Linked DNA regions of Drosophila melanogaster. The protein of the gene in region 3 interacts with the protein of the main gene of each other region in a pairwise test. Each region holds a gene or a part of one and is shown on either strand. Other genes may lie near its edges.

What was found.
Region 1: the proteins of zen (region 3) and Acox3 interact in a two-hybrid assay, tested with the Drosophila melanogaster proteins (one large-scale study listed by BioGRID).
Region 2: the proteins of zen (region 3) and Stacl interact in a two-hybrid assay, tested with the Drosophila melanogaster proteins (one large-scale study listed by BioGRID).

The regions. Positions count from the first base shown.
Region 1 is NT_033779.5:6,444,552-6,450,140, reverse strand, and holds Acox3 (Acyl-CoA oxidase 3), read left to right. Parts: upstream 1-2,278; 5' UTR 2,279-2,291; coding exon 2,292-2,534; intron 2,535-2,705; coding exon 2,706-2,840; intron 2,841-2,900; coding exon 2,901-3,391; intron 3,392-3,467; coding exon 3,468-3,945; intron 3,946-4,009; coding exon 4,010-4,280; intron 4,281-4,344; coding exon 4,345-4,499; intron 4,500-4,563; coding exon 4,564-4,854; intron 4,855-4,911; coding exon 4,912-5,022; 3' UTR 5,023-5,071; downstream 5,072-5,589. Other genes in the region: retm (real-time), read left to right, coding at 9-289.
Region 2 is NT_033778.4:15,399,399-15,404,386, forward strand, and holds the start of Stacl (Stac-like), read left to right. Parts: upstream 1-1,697; 5' UTR 1,698-2,985; intron 2,986-4,988.
Region 3 is NT_033777.3:6,752,154-6,756,132, reverse strand, and holds zen (zerknullt), read left to right. Parts: upstream 1-1,938; 5' UTR 1,939-1,984; coding exon 1,985-2,071; intron 2,072-2,135; coding exon 2,136-3,110; 3' UTR 3,111-3,269; downstream 3,270-3,979. UniProt on the Drosophila melanogaster protein: Required for the differentiation of the dorsal-ventral pattern, and does not appear to be involved in the process of segmentation.

The DNA.
Region 1 (5,589 bases), on a different chromosome or scaffold from region 3:
GCCCACAGATTCCGCCGTCTCGTACTTTGATCTGCAGGACTTCGTCGAGGGCGTCAATTATTTCCGTGAGGAGCCAACGCTGATTTGCCGGCACAAGGAGAGCGTCCAGGGGTCGCACGTGATGCATCACAACGACAGCTATCTTATGCACTGGTTTAGTCCATCGGGTGCCCAGTTAAACGTCTTCTACGAGGTGCTCAGCTCGGCCAACTACAAGGGTTCGATGACCAGCCTGCAGTCGGCATTCTCATCGAACTCGTCGGCGGCCAGCTCGGTGCAGAGTCGATGATATGAGAAAGCCGGGGATGGCGGAACGAACGGCGCCGAATGGAGATCCCCGGCATTGGAGGAGCCCATAGCGGCGGACATTCTCACGGGCACCCTGATGGAGAAGAGCCTGAATCTATTTGAAACGCCGGACGTATTCTTTTAAGACCGAAAGTGGTAATATCTTGTGTTTTAGTTGTCTTTAGTTGTTTAGCAGAATGTTAGTTTGATTTTAAATTGTATTTAGCTCAAATAGGCCATTTATTTCCTTTTAAATTTATTATATTCATTCAATATATACAAGCATTCATATTATTGATAATCTTAAGAAAATTAGAAATATCAGCGGTTTAAATGAGCAACACCAAAATATCACGCAACGTTTTATTTGAATCGTCAATTTGAATTTTTCGTAAGCAGCTCTATAAATGAAGTTTTAATGCGTACATATATATGTAAAAGCGACGTAATTTTTATAGCTTTTTCTAATGGAACATTTTTTAGCAACAATTAAGGAACTTATTGCGATTGCGCAGCCACTGAAACGAAAATAGAAAAAATTGAAATTGTAATCAATAACTACGTGTTACCTAATTAGTTTAATAAACAAATTGCCGAAATGGCTTATTGCAAGGATTTTAGCCAGAACTTATACAAAAGAGTGAAATGTAAGATTTGAACTCGAAATACACACGTAGGTTATAGCTAGACGTCAGATTATAATTATAAATGTAAAATTGTATTTTAAACATTCGAATGCAGAACGTTTTTGATTGCACACTAATTACCCCGTCATTTGTACGCCCTTAATTGCTAATATCAATCAATCTCCAAAGTGTTTTTAAAATCAAAAAAGGCAACTTCAGTGTGTTTTTTTGGTTATTATTTATTGTATTAAAAACGAATTACTATGCGGATGTTTACAATTTAGTTTTATAAATAATCTGACGTGTATTGTAAGAATAAACTGACAAGCCAATAACGAAGGAAAAATGAGTGCATGTTAACTAAGTGTGTAAGTTGTATTAAGAACGTAATCAAATAAATGCTATTAGATCAATTACATGTACATATTCGCATTTTATTGTGGGCTCTTGAAAAAAATAAACTATTCAACAGTTTTAATTAAAATCAAATTTAGAATCCATGAAAATTGTATGGTATGGATATGGATGCTCTTTTCATATTTTAAATGTGGATTGTAATGTTTTTATATATATTGTAATGTTTTTATATAACAAAATAGATAAAATTAGACCAGCAAATGACTCGTTTCTGATAGAAAGAATATTCAAATTACGCGCCAGACCTACTATTCCAGCCCTGGCTACCTTGAGAAGGTCTGGCAACGCCCCCGCTAAAACATTTTGTGAAAACATTGAATTGTGATATTAAAGAAAATTAAACATGAAATTTATGTATATTATGTATAATAATTAAATAATTATATTATATAATAATTAACAGAATTTAAAAAACTTCACATTTTGTATTTATATAACACCGTTCTTTCTCATGGCTTAAGTCACGTCAAACTATGTTATCTTCAATGGTGAAAAACTGGGTTAAAATTGTTTGTTTATCGCGCTTGTTGTTGGCTGATGGCTGATAGGAAATTAAAGCAATGTTTGTGGCCGCTAAAAGATTCGAATTTCGCAGGCAGCACCCACCACCACCTGCACGGGCCGCCCTAATCCCGCATTCTCCTAGGGCCCGTATCTTATCCGCGGCGGATGCAAACCACTAAAAGGCTACTTGGCCATGAAGTGCGGATAAGCGGATTCCTTCTTATCGCCGCTGGCCATTGGACATTGGCTATTTTACCAATAATAGTTACGAGTGCCTGGACTTTCAAGCATTTCGCGCCTAGCATTCGAAGCAGCCAGACCAGTCGCTAGAATCGAACTCCAACATGGTTGCATTGAGCACAAAGTAAGTACCCCTGCCCCACAGCCCCATCGCCTCGACTGACGACCACAACGTCCACCAATCCAACATTCCAACAAGAGCCAGTTCTCTGGGCAATGGCGAGCGGAGTAGGCGATGGCGATGGTGGTGACCAAAACGGTCTGAACTCATTACTAACCGCACTGGGCGACTATTACAGCGGCCGCCGGGAGGAGAAGGCTGCAGCCAACATCTACGATGACAAACGGATCTTTCCCGACTTCCGTAGCGGACCTTTGGAAGAGTACCGTGAGCGGGCTAGCTTCTGCTACAAGCGCATGAACGTGGTGCTCGAGGGCGAGGATCACATACGGCTGAAGGTTCGTTACCATTTCCAGTTTGTTACATATGTACATGGTCAGCGGGGTCGAAGTGCAGACTGCCTCGATAGCTTTTGTCGGAGCTGCAGGCCGCCAACCGCCCGGTCTAATCGTCGCCCGTTTCTTATCTGCACACTTGAGTAATTCGTTTACATGTCACTCCGTCTTTAGCACAAGGTGTGGCAATGGATGGAACAGCACCCCGACTACCAGCGGGAGCCAGGATCCGATTTGGAACGCACCCGCGAAATGGCCAACAAGCGGCAGCATCTTCTGTGGGAGCAACAGTTCTACGGCGTCAACGAGGTAGGATGCGTTGCGTACTCCTGAAAGTGTGGCTGCCTAAATCTCCTGTCTTTCTTTCAGTATCTTGGAACCCCACATCTTCTGCTTGCTTTCGGACAGGCCATCTTTAGCTACGATTTCAGCACTTCGGTCAAGTTCGGCCTTTCAACTGGCATGTTCCCCAGCACGCTGGTCTCCAACGGATCTGGCCGCCTGGGCAAGTACGTGGCCAAGATCGCGGACAACCGCATTTTGGGCGCCTACGCTCTCACTGAGATTTCTCACGGCACCAACGCGCTCGGCATGCGCACCCGTGCCACCTACGATGTGAAAAGGCAGGAGTTTATCATCCACACGCCAGACTTCGAGGCGGCCAAGTGTTGGGTCGGTAATCTAGGCAAGACTTGCACGCACGCAATCGTCTACGCCCAGCTGTACGTGCCGGATGACAAGCACCAGGGCCTGCAGGCCTTCCTTGTTCCCATTCGGGACGAGCGTACATTGCTTCCATTCCCCGGCGTAACCGTCGGCGATATGGGCGAAAAGATCGGTCTCAATGGCATTGATAACGGGCAAGTACTTTCTTCTATCAGTTGATAAAACTAATCAACAGCAACAGAAATAATTTCGATTTGTTTGGCATTGCAGATTTGTGATGTTCAACCAGTATCGTATCCCTAAGGCAAATCTGCTGTCCAAGACCGGTGACATCGATGCGCAGGGAAACTACACCAGTAAAATTAAGGACGAGCGTAAGCGCCTTGGCGCCTCCTTGGGTGCCCTCTCCGTGGGTCGCGTCAATATCACTGCTATCACGTATGTGGCCTTGAGCAAGGCTGTGACAATTGCCACTCGCTATGCGGCCAGCAGACGCCAGTTTGGCCCTACCAACAGCCCGGCGGAGTGGCCCGTGATCGAGTATCAGTCACAGCAATACCGACTAATTCCCCACTTGGCCACCACAATCGCCTTGCGGGTGGCCACACTCTGGATAGGCAAAGAGAACGTGGATTTGACCATGAAGGGCTTCACTGGCGAGGACACGTCGCAAGCGGGCATGGAGATCCATGCGATCTCATCGGCACTCAAACCAGTTGCCACTTGGGCTGCCAGGGATGGCATCCAGGTATGAATGCTTTATATATGTATATAACCACTTTTACTTATCGGTTATATTGTTTTAATCTCAGGAATGCCGCGAGGCCTGTGGCGGTCATGGCTATCTTAAATCTTCTGGCTTGGGCGAACTTCGCAACGACAACGATGCCAACTGCACCTATGAGGGCGAGAACAACACGCTCATCCAGCAAGCGTCCAATTGGTTGATCAGTCTGCAACGCAACAATGCCGACTTCGTGGCAGTTTCCCCATTGGAGACAGTCTCCTTCCTGAAGGATATGGACACAATTCTGCAAAGCAAGGGTCAGGAGCGAACTCCTGCCGAAGTTTTGGATCCGCTCAGTGAGTATTTCTTAGTTATCCAAATATAAGATAGGAATAACGCAATTTTATTGCACTTCTATAGATCTACTTAATGCCCTCAACTGGCTTACCGTCTGGCAACTGGATACGACGGTGAAACGAGTTGAGGAACAGCAGCGCGAAGGAAAGGATGCCTTTGAGACGAGGAACAACATCCAGGTCTTTGCCGCCCAGAAGCTCTCCATTATCTACGGCGAGGTGAGATGCCAACCCTCTAAACCCCAACTAAATAGTAAAATAACCAAGTTTAATATTCTTTTAGCGCACCATCTACTACGTGTTTTATAAGTTTGTAATTGGTCTGCCCGACTCTGCTGAGAAGAAGGTACTGCAGCAGGTGCTCTCCTTCTATGGCGCCCACTTGGTCACAAAGTACTCCGCTGCTTTCTACCGCGGTGGTTACTTCCGCGAAAACTCTAACCAACTGGAGCTGTACGAACAGGGCATTCTGGCTCTGCTTCCCCTGCTGAAGAACGAAGCCATTGCTCTGGTGGATGCCATTGCTCCCACAGACTTTATTCTAAACTCTCCTCTGGGCATGAGCGATGGAAACGTAAGTGGTCTACCATAAGCAACTGCTACTCTTACTAAAGATTCTATCCTTTCGCAGGTCTACCAGCATCTGCAGCGCACGCTTGTCTCCACTCCAGGTGTCTACGAGCGTCCTCATTGGTGGCGTGATGTTACCTACAAGGATTACCTTAAGCGCGCCAAATTGTAGACTCACTGTAAAATCCCAAATAAGAAGACTTTACTCGTTGAGTTTTTGTAAGAAACTGATTTTATTTGGAAATATCTTCGGTTTAAATAGGTGACATGAGAATCGCATCTTAAAGTAAATGGCCTACGCAGAGGCCTAAGTAAATAGTCCCCGCCTTATCGAGGTCCCACGCTCGGGCACATCTGCCTATCTTGAGCGGCGAGGACCTTATCTGTGGTCTCCCACTAAGGGACTATTTTAGGAGGCGGGGAACGATCTCAAGTGACTGACTCATGTAGTGTGCACTTAAATTACATGTTTTTGAGCAATGCACCCATGTCGCCTTAGATAACAAAATCCTAAATATAATTTATCGCTCTCGATTCATTTACATAAGATATGAACGGAGCCCAAAATTGTAAGTCTTTAAATATATTCGTGTTCATGTGTGAACATTCTGCCAAAGGGCCAGCAAGCTGAGATGTACATTAGTATATTAGTTGCATTTATAACAGTAGTGGACTGTATTTATTTGATATATGTTCATTTATTTTGCAACTAAGATTTCAATGGGCCTAGTTTTTCTGG
Region 2 (4,988 bases), on a different chromosome or scaffold from region 3:
CTTGAAAAATTGAGAGTAGAGCAGGACCACAATTTACTGATGGAATTTTTACACAAGTTATTTATTTTGTTTCTATTGCTGGCCGCTTCATTCATGACGACTTCATTTACTTGACGAATGTGCCCGTGCAGGACGAAGGATCCACGCTGCTGGCTTTATTAATATTTATAAGTTGGACTCTCTAGCAGGAGCTTAGCCAAAGCCGCAATAATTCCCCCGACCACGCAATCAAAATCAACCCTCTTGGAAATTCCGATGGCTGGCTGGAGACAGCCACTTGGTTCGCTTAACATTTTCAATTTCAATCTAATCTAAATTACATGATATGCGCACAATTTGAACGCTAATGAGCAAGGAATTTGTGGTAAGATGGTGGCGGAGCAACGCTGCGTATGCGCAACATATTGCGTGTGAATTTTAATTAAAAACTTTTCTCACTTTCCAACCGAGATAATCTCTGTCCCACCGCCTTTTCCTCGAAATCTCCCACTGCGAATCGGATGTCCTTTCGTGTTGGCTGCTGTTGTTGCTGTTGCTTCGATTGCATCGATTTTCTGCTAACTTTGAACGGTATTTGAAAGGAGCTTAAGCTTGTTTCTTTTATTTGCGCTACCTTCGCGCGAAACCCGATTCCATGGGCAGCAAACAGGACCAGGTTGGCTAACAAATTCTTGGAGCTATTCAGCGGTTAGCGGTTGGGGTAAACAACTTCTATAATCACTGTAATGCGATCAAGCATAAAGATGGCTCTAGCTGACCGTTTATTTAGATGGGTAAACGGGTAATCCTATTTTTAGCCATGTTTATTAGACGAGAACAGCTTCTTTCACTAATGCGATTTAAAGAAAGCCTAATTTTTTAAAATAACTATACTTAATTAGTTGCAATCTCTTTCACATTTACATCACCCCTGCTAAGTAGAGGGTATGTGGTAGTCGAAGAACTCGTCTATAGCGCCCTCCCTGATTGTTGTAAAGTTGTAATAATAGTAATAAGTTAAAATATGTTGGTAGAGGATTTCAATGAGGTATTTTATTTCAATAAAATTCCGCTTAGAACATTCACCATTCGTTGCATTCCGTTCGCCCTCTAACCTGTTAACTTGGTTTTAATTTACACTTAATTACGTGCATTGCCGTGGCAAAAGTGCAACAGATTGCTTCGTGGATTGCTTCATTAATTGTCCTCTGTTGTGGCAACTACCATCCTGCCGCATCTCCCCTCTAATAACACATTACCAAGCTGCTGGTCCTGCTATTTAATGGCCTCACATGTGTCGGGAGATAGGGACAAAAATTAACCTTTGACCTGAATGTGTACGGTATCGCGTCACTTGGCTGTGCAAACAAATTGTTTCACGTCAAAAAGTTCCATTATTCGATTATGAGCCGGTCGAATAATACATTAGTAATGCAATTAATTAGTATATAAAGAATTCCGTATTCACACCGCCATCGGCACCAAATGATTAACTTCCATGGCAATTGTTTTGCTTAGGGCCCAACCACTTGCTTGATTCCCTTCCCATAACTGCTCTTTTCTGGCCAAGAGCACCTGCCCGCTCTTTGGAATTCCCAGTTGCTTTCTCTTCGTTTGCCCACGCAGCCGCATCAAGCTATTCCGAAAATAAAGCAGCCGACTTGTGGACGTTGCGTATACGCAGTGTTGTCGCCGCCGTTCGTTTGGAACCACTGTTCAGTCGCTAGCTGGACGTGATGTTGGCCGGAAGAGCAGCACGGCAAACAAATAAAGACTTAGCCAAAACAGCTGAACAATAGCTGAGCTGAACTGAACTCCAGGCCGTAACAAGTGTGGCAGTAGTTAGGTGTTCGTGCCGCTGAAACAACAAGTATCCAGCACAGTACTTTCTATTTCGGTTAGTCGGTCGGTCGGTTGGTCGTTTGGTCGGTTTGTCCGAGTGTGTGCGTGTTGGCCACCTAAGTCCTGGTGCGTGCGTGTGTGTGCGCGCTAACTGTGTTTTTGGATGCAAATCAAAGCGCAGCTCACCTGAAAAGTATGCTTTAAATTTTTACTATCGCCACTCCGCGTGTGTACTTGTAACTCTGAAAAGTTTCTGTTTCTGTGTTTATTTGACTACCGCGGCGCATTTACATAAGTAAACTTTGGCATGCGCGCGGCCTGCTGCCGCTGATGTAGATGTAACGACGTCGACGTTGGCACTGAATAATTAATGCAATCAAGCAATTTGAACCCGTTCCGCCGTGGAGTGTGCCTGGGCCAGTGCCACAACGGTTTCAACGTGACCATAATGAGAGCTCCCCAAGCTACAAGTCACTAAGTGTGCCCGAAAAGCCCAATAACACAAAGAGATAACCTGACCAAAATTCGCAACAAAAAAAAAAAAAAAATACAACACACAAGAAGCCTGAGGAACAAGGAGGGAATACACTATATTTTTCGACAGAACTATAGCTATACTATACCATATTAACAAGAGAGAGTCTACTATATATGTACTTACTTAGTGCTAACTGACCACGCATATTCCAATCATAAATTATCGTGATAAAAATTCTTAGGCGCTGAAAGCCAATTTCAATTTTCACCCAAAAACGATAGAAGAAGAAAAGCCCCTGAAAGAGAAGAGAGAGAGAGAGAGGGATATACGCTGTCTGCAGACCAACAAATTACTAATAATAATTTTTAGATTTAAACGACAACAAAAACGAGACTAACAAACATCTGCTGGCCACACAAGGAACGTATACAAATAAATGCGGGTATATAGCAAAATGTAGACAGCTTGGCAAATATATTTCGATTAAAATATATACCAAATTGAACTGGACAGAGCTTTGACACGAAAACCAAATCGTTTGCCAAGTGAATTTTATGAAATTCGCCTGATTATTGCGGCAACAATAGAGATAAGATTCGGAATCAGAGGAAAAGCGTTTAAGTGAATGGGAAAAAGCAGCCAACAGGTTGTCGACGACAGATAAGGCCAACATTTTCTCGAAATTGGTAAGTTGAAATCACAGCAGTGTAGAACGAATGAAAAATAATGAATGTGGCACTTCATTTCTACCACTTGGAAGGATAGTCTGATTTAGAAGTTTATTAAATGGTATGCTAAGTTTTGTCAATGATTTTATTTTGCTAAGAGCTTTGCCATCAACTAATAAAGGAGATTAAGCTTTGAAAACTTGATTGAAAATGAATTTGGGTTTCTGTGGAAGCTTAAGTTTTGCCAAAGTGAAAGAAACTACTGCAAGTTTTGAATAAACTAAATAATTTCTTTAGCAAAGTTAAAGTTTGACAAAAATCATTACAAACTAAAATGGTCATTTGGCTACTTTTAAAGCAATTTTCTTAATTGCATATATTTCGTGTTGGCAGAGTGCATTTAAAATTCTTTTTAAGTTTACTCACCTCACAATTCCCAAATCTGTATCCATTAATTAAGTGCAACTACTTACAGCTGAGAAATGTGATTAAAAGAATGCTATGCAGTTAAGAAATTAAAGTGTCATTGGTGACTTTCTTCACTCCTGCAAGTTCGTCGCTTTTTGCAAAGGTCCTGCGCACGGCTGCCCAATTCCTCCATCCATTATCCACGTAATCCCACTCGTCACGAGATTCCATCCGTCAAATCCCATTCCCGCCCAGCAGCAACATGTAAATGCTCCTGTAGTTCCGGAACATATGTGTACGAAATGAAAAGATCCCAAGGAGTAAACTGTAAACTGTAAAAATACTGACCATGTCGCAAAGTGCCATAAACAATTTTACAACATTTTTGCTGTCATAAGATTAAATGTGCATAAGCTGGAGGAGGGGCAAGGACAAGAAGAGCGCACTCCTCCGCAGGAGGATGAAAAAAAAAATGGAAAGTGCTAGGGAAAAAAAGGAGAAAGCTGTAGGAAAAGCTGGGCAATAGAGCACTGCGATGGGCGAAAGCGAAACAAAAGCAATAACTATAAAACAAACACGACAATTCGCTTCAACTTTGGGGCTACAAAAAATGGCTGAACACACACAGACAGAGGCAAACCGACTTTATGTGAAGAAAGAAAACAACGCTGAAGAACAACGGAGACTCACAGATACGAATACACTGGGTGAAAACTGAATGATTTAAATTACACAATAAAAGTATTGATTTAAGAGTGCTGGGCTCCGGTACACTGCAAGATAGGTTAGACAATGTAAACTTTAAAATATTTAAGATTTGGAAACTCCTTGGGGTTTAAAGGAATATTATATGGAGAGTATTTATGTTTTTCTCTGTAATATGTCTTGCATCGCTTTGGATTTTCTCACTTGAAGGACCCCACTTCGATTCCAGCACTTTTACTCGCGGTGTACACATACACAAGCCCATGTGCATTCATTCTGAGCTCCTTTTTTATGGCCGCTGGCGGTGGGTGTTCGTTGGTATGGTTTTGTTGAGGGTCGACTGGGCTATAAAGGTATGCAGCAGGCAGCAGACGACAGCATCCAATTACAAAGTGAATATTTCGAGACTTGTTGGTTTGACTCCCGCCTTTACGCTCGGGCAGCATATCTCGGTTTCCTTCCATGTTGACCTTAACATTTATTTCATCTGCTCTCTTCTCGGCTTTGTGTGGCAGCCTTAAAGTGACTTTCAAGTTTTTGGTACCGCCGTTACTGTCGCTGACCTGATTCTGATTTCTTCTTTAGTTGCACGAAAACGAGACCACCGAAAACACCGGGTCCATTCCCAAATGAAAACATTTTACGGGGAAGCCCCCACGGAGAGTGGTGTTAGTAGGAGGTCCTTGGGGGGAATAATGAGGTACGCGACCGTGCCCACTTGAGCACGTTCTACATGAACTGCTGGCCCAGCCGGCAATGGTGATGATGGCATGCTAATAACGTCCAACGACCACCTTCCTGAATGGCCAAAATACAAAAAATAAAAAAAGAAAACAAAAACGCTAAAAAACTGAGAAAACGACCAACATGTTTCGCCACGCTTTCGCATTTATACATGGCCTGTCATT
Region 3 (3,979 bases):
GTGTCTGACATAATCAAACATTTGCGCATTCTTTGACCAAGAATAGTCAGCAAATTGTATTTTCAATCAATGCAGACCATTTGTTTCAGATTCGGAGATTTTTTGCTGCCAAACGGAATAACTATCATAGCTCACATTCTATTTACATCACTAAGAAGAGCATTGCAATCTGTTAGGCCTCAAGTTTAATTTTAAAATGCTGCACCTTTGATGTTGTCTCTTTAAGCTTTGTATTTTTAATTACGAAAATATATAAGAACTACTCTACTCGGGTAAATTGTGACTAACTACACATAACTACATACTTAGCCCATATTTCCGTCCCTTTCTAGAATGAACGAAAACAGTATCTGGTTTTCCCGAAAATCTTATGAATTTAAAAATGCACTTTATTGCACATACTCACACATGCCTGCCATAAAATATGATTCGCGATTTTTCCGCGAACACCCGCGGATCATAAAACATTTGCACCAGCTGCCTGTGTTTATTCACCTACCTGAAACCCATACTCTTATCGCCTGATCCTCGCGCGGTCGCACTATTTAGGTAGACACTGTACAGGCAGCACTCGCGGGGCGCCGCCAGGCAACTTGTTGCCCCTATTTTCTTTGATATAAGTTTTGGGAAATCCAGAAGTCCAATAACGGGGCCTATATGAACGAATATTGATTGGGTTTCTCCCAGTTATAGAGTTTTTATTGATCTTGGGCGCGTTTTAGTAGGTGGATTATGGATGTCCTGGGAAAACCAAGCTCTGAATCCATTCTTACTTATCACAAGACTTGTTTTCCTGTGCCCTTCATCACACCTAGTTTAACTACTATAATTAATAAACTACTTTTTAATCCGCCATTTATGAAGATAATTTATAGCATCTATGCATCTTTCAAATATCGCGAGATATCGCAAAGTATTCATAAATTAGTTTTTTATTGATATTGTAAAGCTTTTTAATTTGGTTCAGGTTTTTATTGTAAATACTTTTCACAATTGTGCACAGTGACCCATTAACATGGTTGCGATATTAACTTAAGACTTAAACAAGTTAATTAAGAGTTTTAGCACTTCTTTTCAAAAGATCATGTTTTAATTATGTTTTTAAATGAATCTTTTCGACAATTCTAAAAATATTATTTCGAAAATGTTAATTTTCATATATAACCTAAGTAAAGATATTTTCAACTGTACCTCACTCTCGCCGCGACATTTCCACACGGTTATCCTGTTATGACTTTTCCTTTGTTCCAACGTATTTTTAGCGAATTCTCGGAAGGAGAAAATCCGATAGCGCCAGTAATAAAATTTGCGAACAATTCCCTAGTTCGAGGACTGAGGATGGGAAGGCCTATGGACCGGAGACCCGAGACAGATTCGCATTCGCCGCGTCGGAGACTTGAGCATATACTCCTTGGAAACAAGCAGAGCCATAAACTGTCCAAATCGAGCATGAAACCCCGAGGAGCATCCTTTCTCACAGCGCTGCTTTCATTGCATTATGAGGATAATTGCGGACGGCGAGCGACCAAAAGCCGCGACAACAGCTTCGGTTTCACTTTCAGCGCCGCCACCGGAGGCTCTTTCAACAGGTGCTACAAGTTGGACAACAATCGCCTCGGATCTCCGATCATCATCAGCCCGTCTACCTGGCGAGACTCCGGCTCTTGCGGCCCAGGAACCCTGGAACTGTCTCTCACGCAACGCCAGATCCTGGCAGGATTTCGATCAAAACAAGCCTCTAGATTGCCCATTGCCAATGGCCGGGAGTCGTCGGACTTGGCTAGTCTCCGAGGTGCCAGTCGGGCAGTCCAGCGACGAAGGGATTTACGACTCGCGGCTTAGGCAAATTTTTTCGCAACGATGCGTCGGCGGAATTGACCTGTTATGTCGTCTACCTACAAGCCCTCCTATATAAGCATGATGTTTGCTTAGGACGACAGATCATTCCACTTTTGACAGCTCACTCGGCAGTACCAGAAAAAATATGTCATCCGTCATGCACTACTATCCAGTTCACCAGGCTAAAGTCGGCTCCTATTCAGCAGATCCTTCCGAGGTTAAATACAGTGATGTGAGTACTCAGATCAAAAATCGAATATCAGCAATAAACTAATTAGTTGTTTACCCGCTTTCAGTTGATCTATGGTCATCATCACGATGTTAACCCCATCGGTCTGCCTCCCAACTACAATCAGATGAACTCCAACCCCACCACCCTCAACGATCACTGCTCCCCGCAGCATGTGCATCAGCAGCATGTGTCATCGGACGAGAATCTGCCATCTCAGCCCAACCACGACTCGCAGAGGGTGAAGCTTAAGCGATCACGGACTGCCTTCACCAGTGTCCAACTGGTGGAACTTGAGAACGAGTTCAAGAGCAACATGTACTTGTACAGGACGCGCAGGATTGAGATTGCTCAGCGCTTGTCCCTGTGCGAACGCCAGGTGAAGATCTGGTTCCAGAACCGACGAATGAAGTTCAAGAAGGACATACAAGGTCACCGCGAGCCCAAGTCCAACGCCAAGTTGGCTCAACCCCAGGCTGAGCAGAGTGCCCACCGAGGCATAGTGAAGCGCCTCATGTCCTACTCCCAGGATCCCAGGGAGGGCACAGCGGCAGCAGAAAAGCGTCCTATGATGGCAGTGGCTCCTGTGAATCCAAAGCCAGACTATCAAGCCAGCCAGAAAATGAAGACCGAAGCATCAACCAACAACGGCATGTGCTCCAGCGCCGACCTCAGCGAGATCTTGGAGCATCTGGCTCAAACTACAGCTGCACCACAGGTCAGCACTGCCACATCTAGCACAGGAACATCTACCAACTCGGCTTCTAGCTCCTCTTCGGGCCACTATTCCTACAACGTGGATTTGGTTCTGCAGAGCATCAAGCAGGATTTGGAGGCAGCGGCCCAGGCTTGGTCCAAGTCTAAATCCGCGCCTATCCTGGCCACTCAATCCTGGCATCCCAGTTCCCAAAGTCAGGTCCCCACGAGCGTGCATGCGGCTCCCTCGATGAATCTGTCGTGGGGCGAGCCTGCTGCCAAGTCGAGAAAGCTGAGCGTTAATCACATGAACCCGTGCGTAACCTCCTACAATTATCCCAACTAATTTTGAGTTAAAAAAGTTATACTAAGTTTTACTATAAATTTTTGTTGGAGCTAAGCAACCGTCTCTGGCCCTTGGACGAAAAATTCTAACCGAACTCAGTGACAAAAGCCATGAATATTCTTAAATTATCGTGAAGTTTAACCATTTTTTTAATAGATATATTAAAATATGCCTCTGTATTGCAACCATAGTTAATAAACTAAAATTCAAATAATACAAAATGATATTTTCTTCACTTTAAAATAATTATTCGATCGATTTCTTAAATGACTCCTTGTTGCTTGCTGTACAACTTTTATAAAACTTTGCTTTAGTTACAATCCATTTAGTATCCTTAAGACCACTCCAATCCAAAGTGGACACTTGGCTTCTGAAAAGGAGAAACCAAGGAAAGAAAGGAGAGGAGAGGAGAGGGGTTAATTTTTAGCATTTAGCTAGTGTCCCAGTTGTCTTCGGTTTCACTTTTGCATTTAATGTCCCATTGCGGGCGACTTGAGGTCAAGTCGAGGAATTTCCATTGCATCGCCCATCTATTAGGGCCCAGAAAAGTGTCAACCGCATTAACTCGGACAGGTCCAGCCCCTTCCCCTTCTCCATTCCCATTCCCAATCCGGATTCGGATCCGGATCCAGGTTCAGTTTCAGTTACAGCGGGTTCCGTTGGTCATCTTGAGCGGCGGACATGGAGTGTTAGGATTTGATTTATGGACATTTAACCGCACACATTACTTGCTACTGGCTGCGGCGGCTGTCCAGCGTCTTGCAGCGCGGAAATGCGGCACTCAGCCTCAGCTCCAAGGAATTTCCACCAGCCCATCCATCCCTTTGGTCCTTGGTGCGGGCCCTTAGGTGTGGTGTGGTATGGTGTGG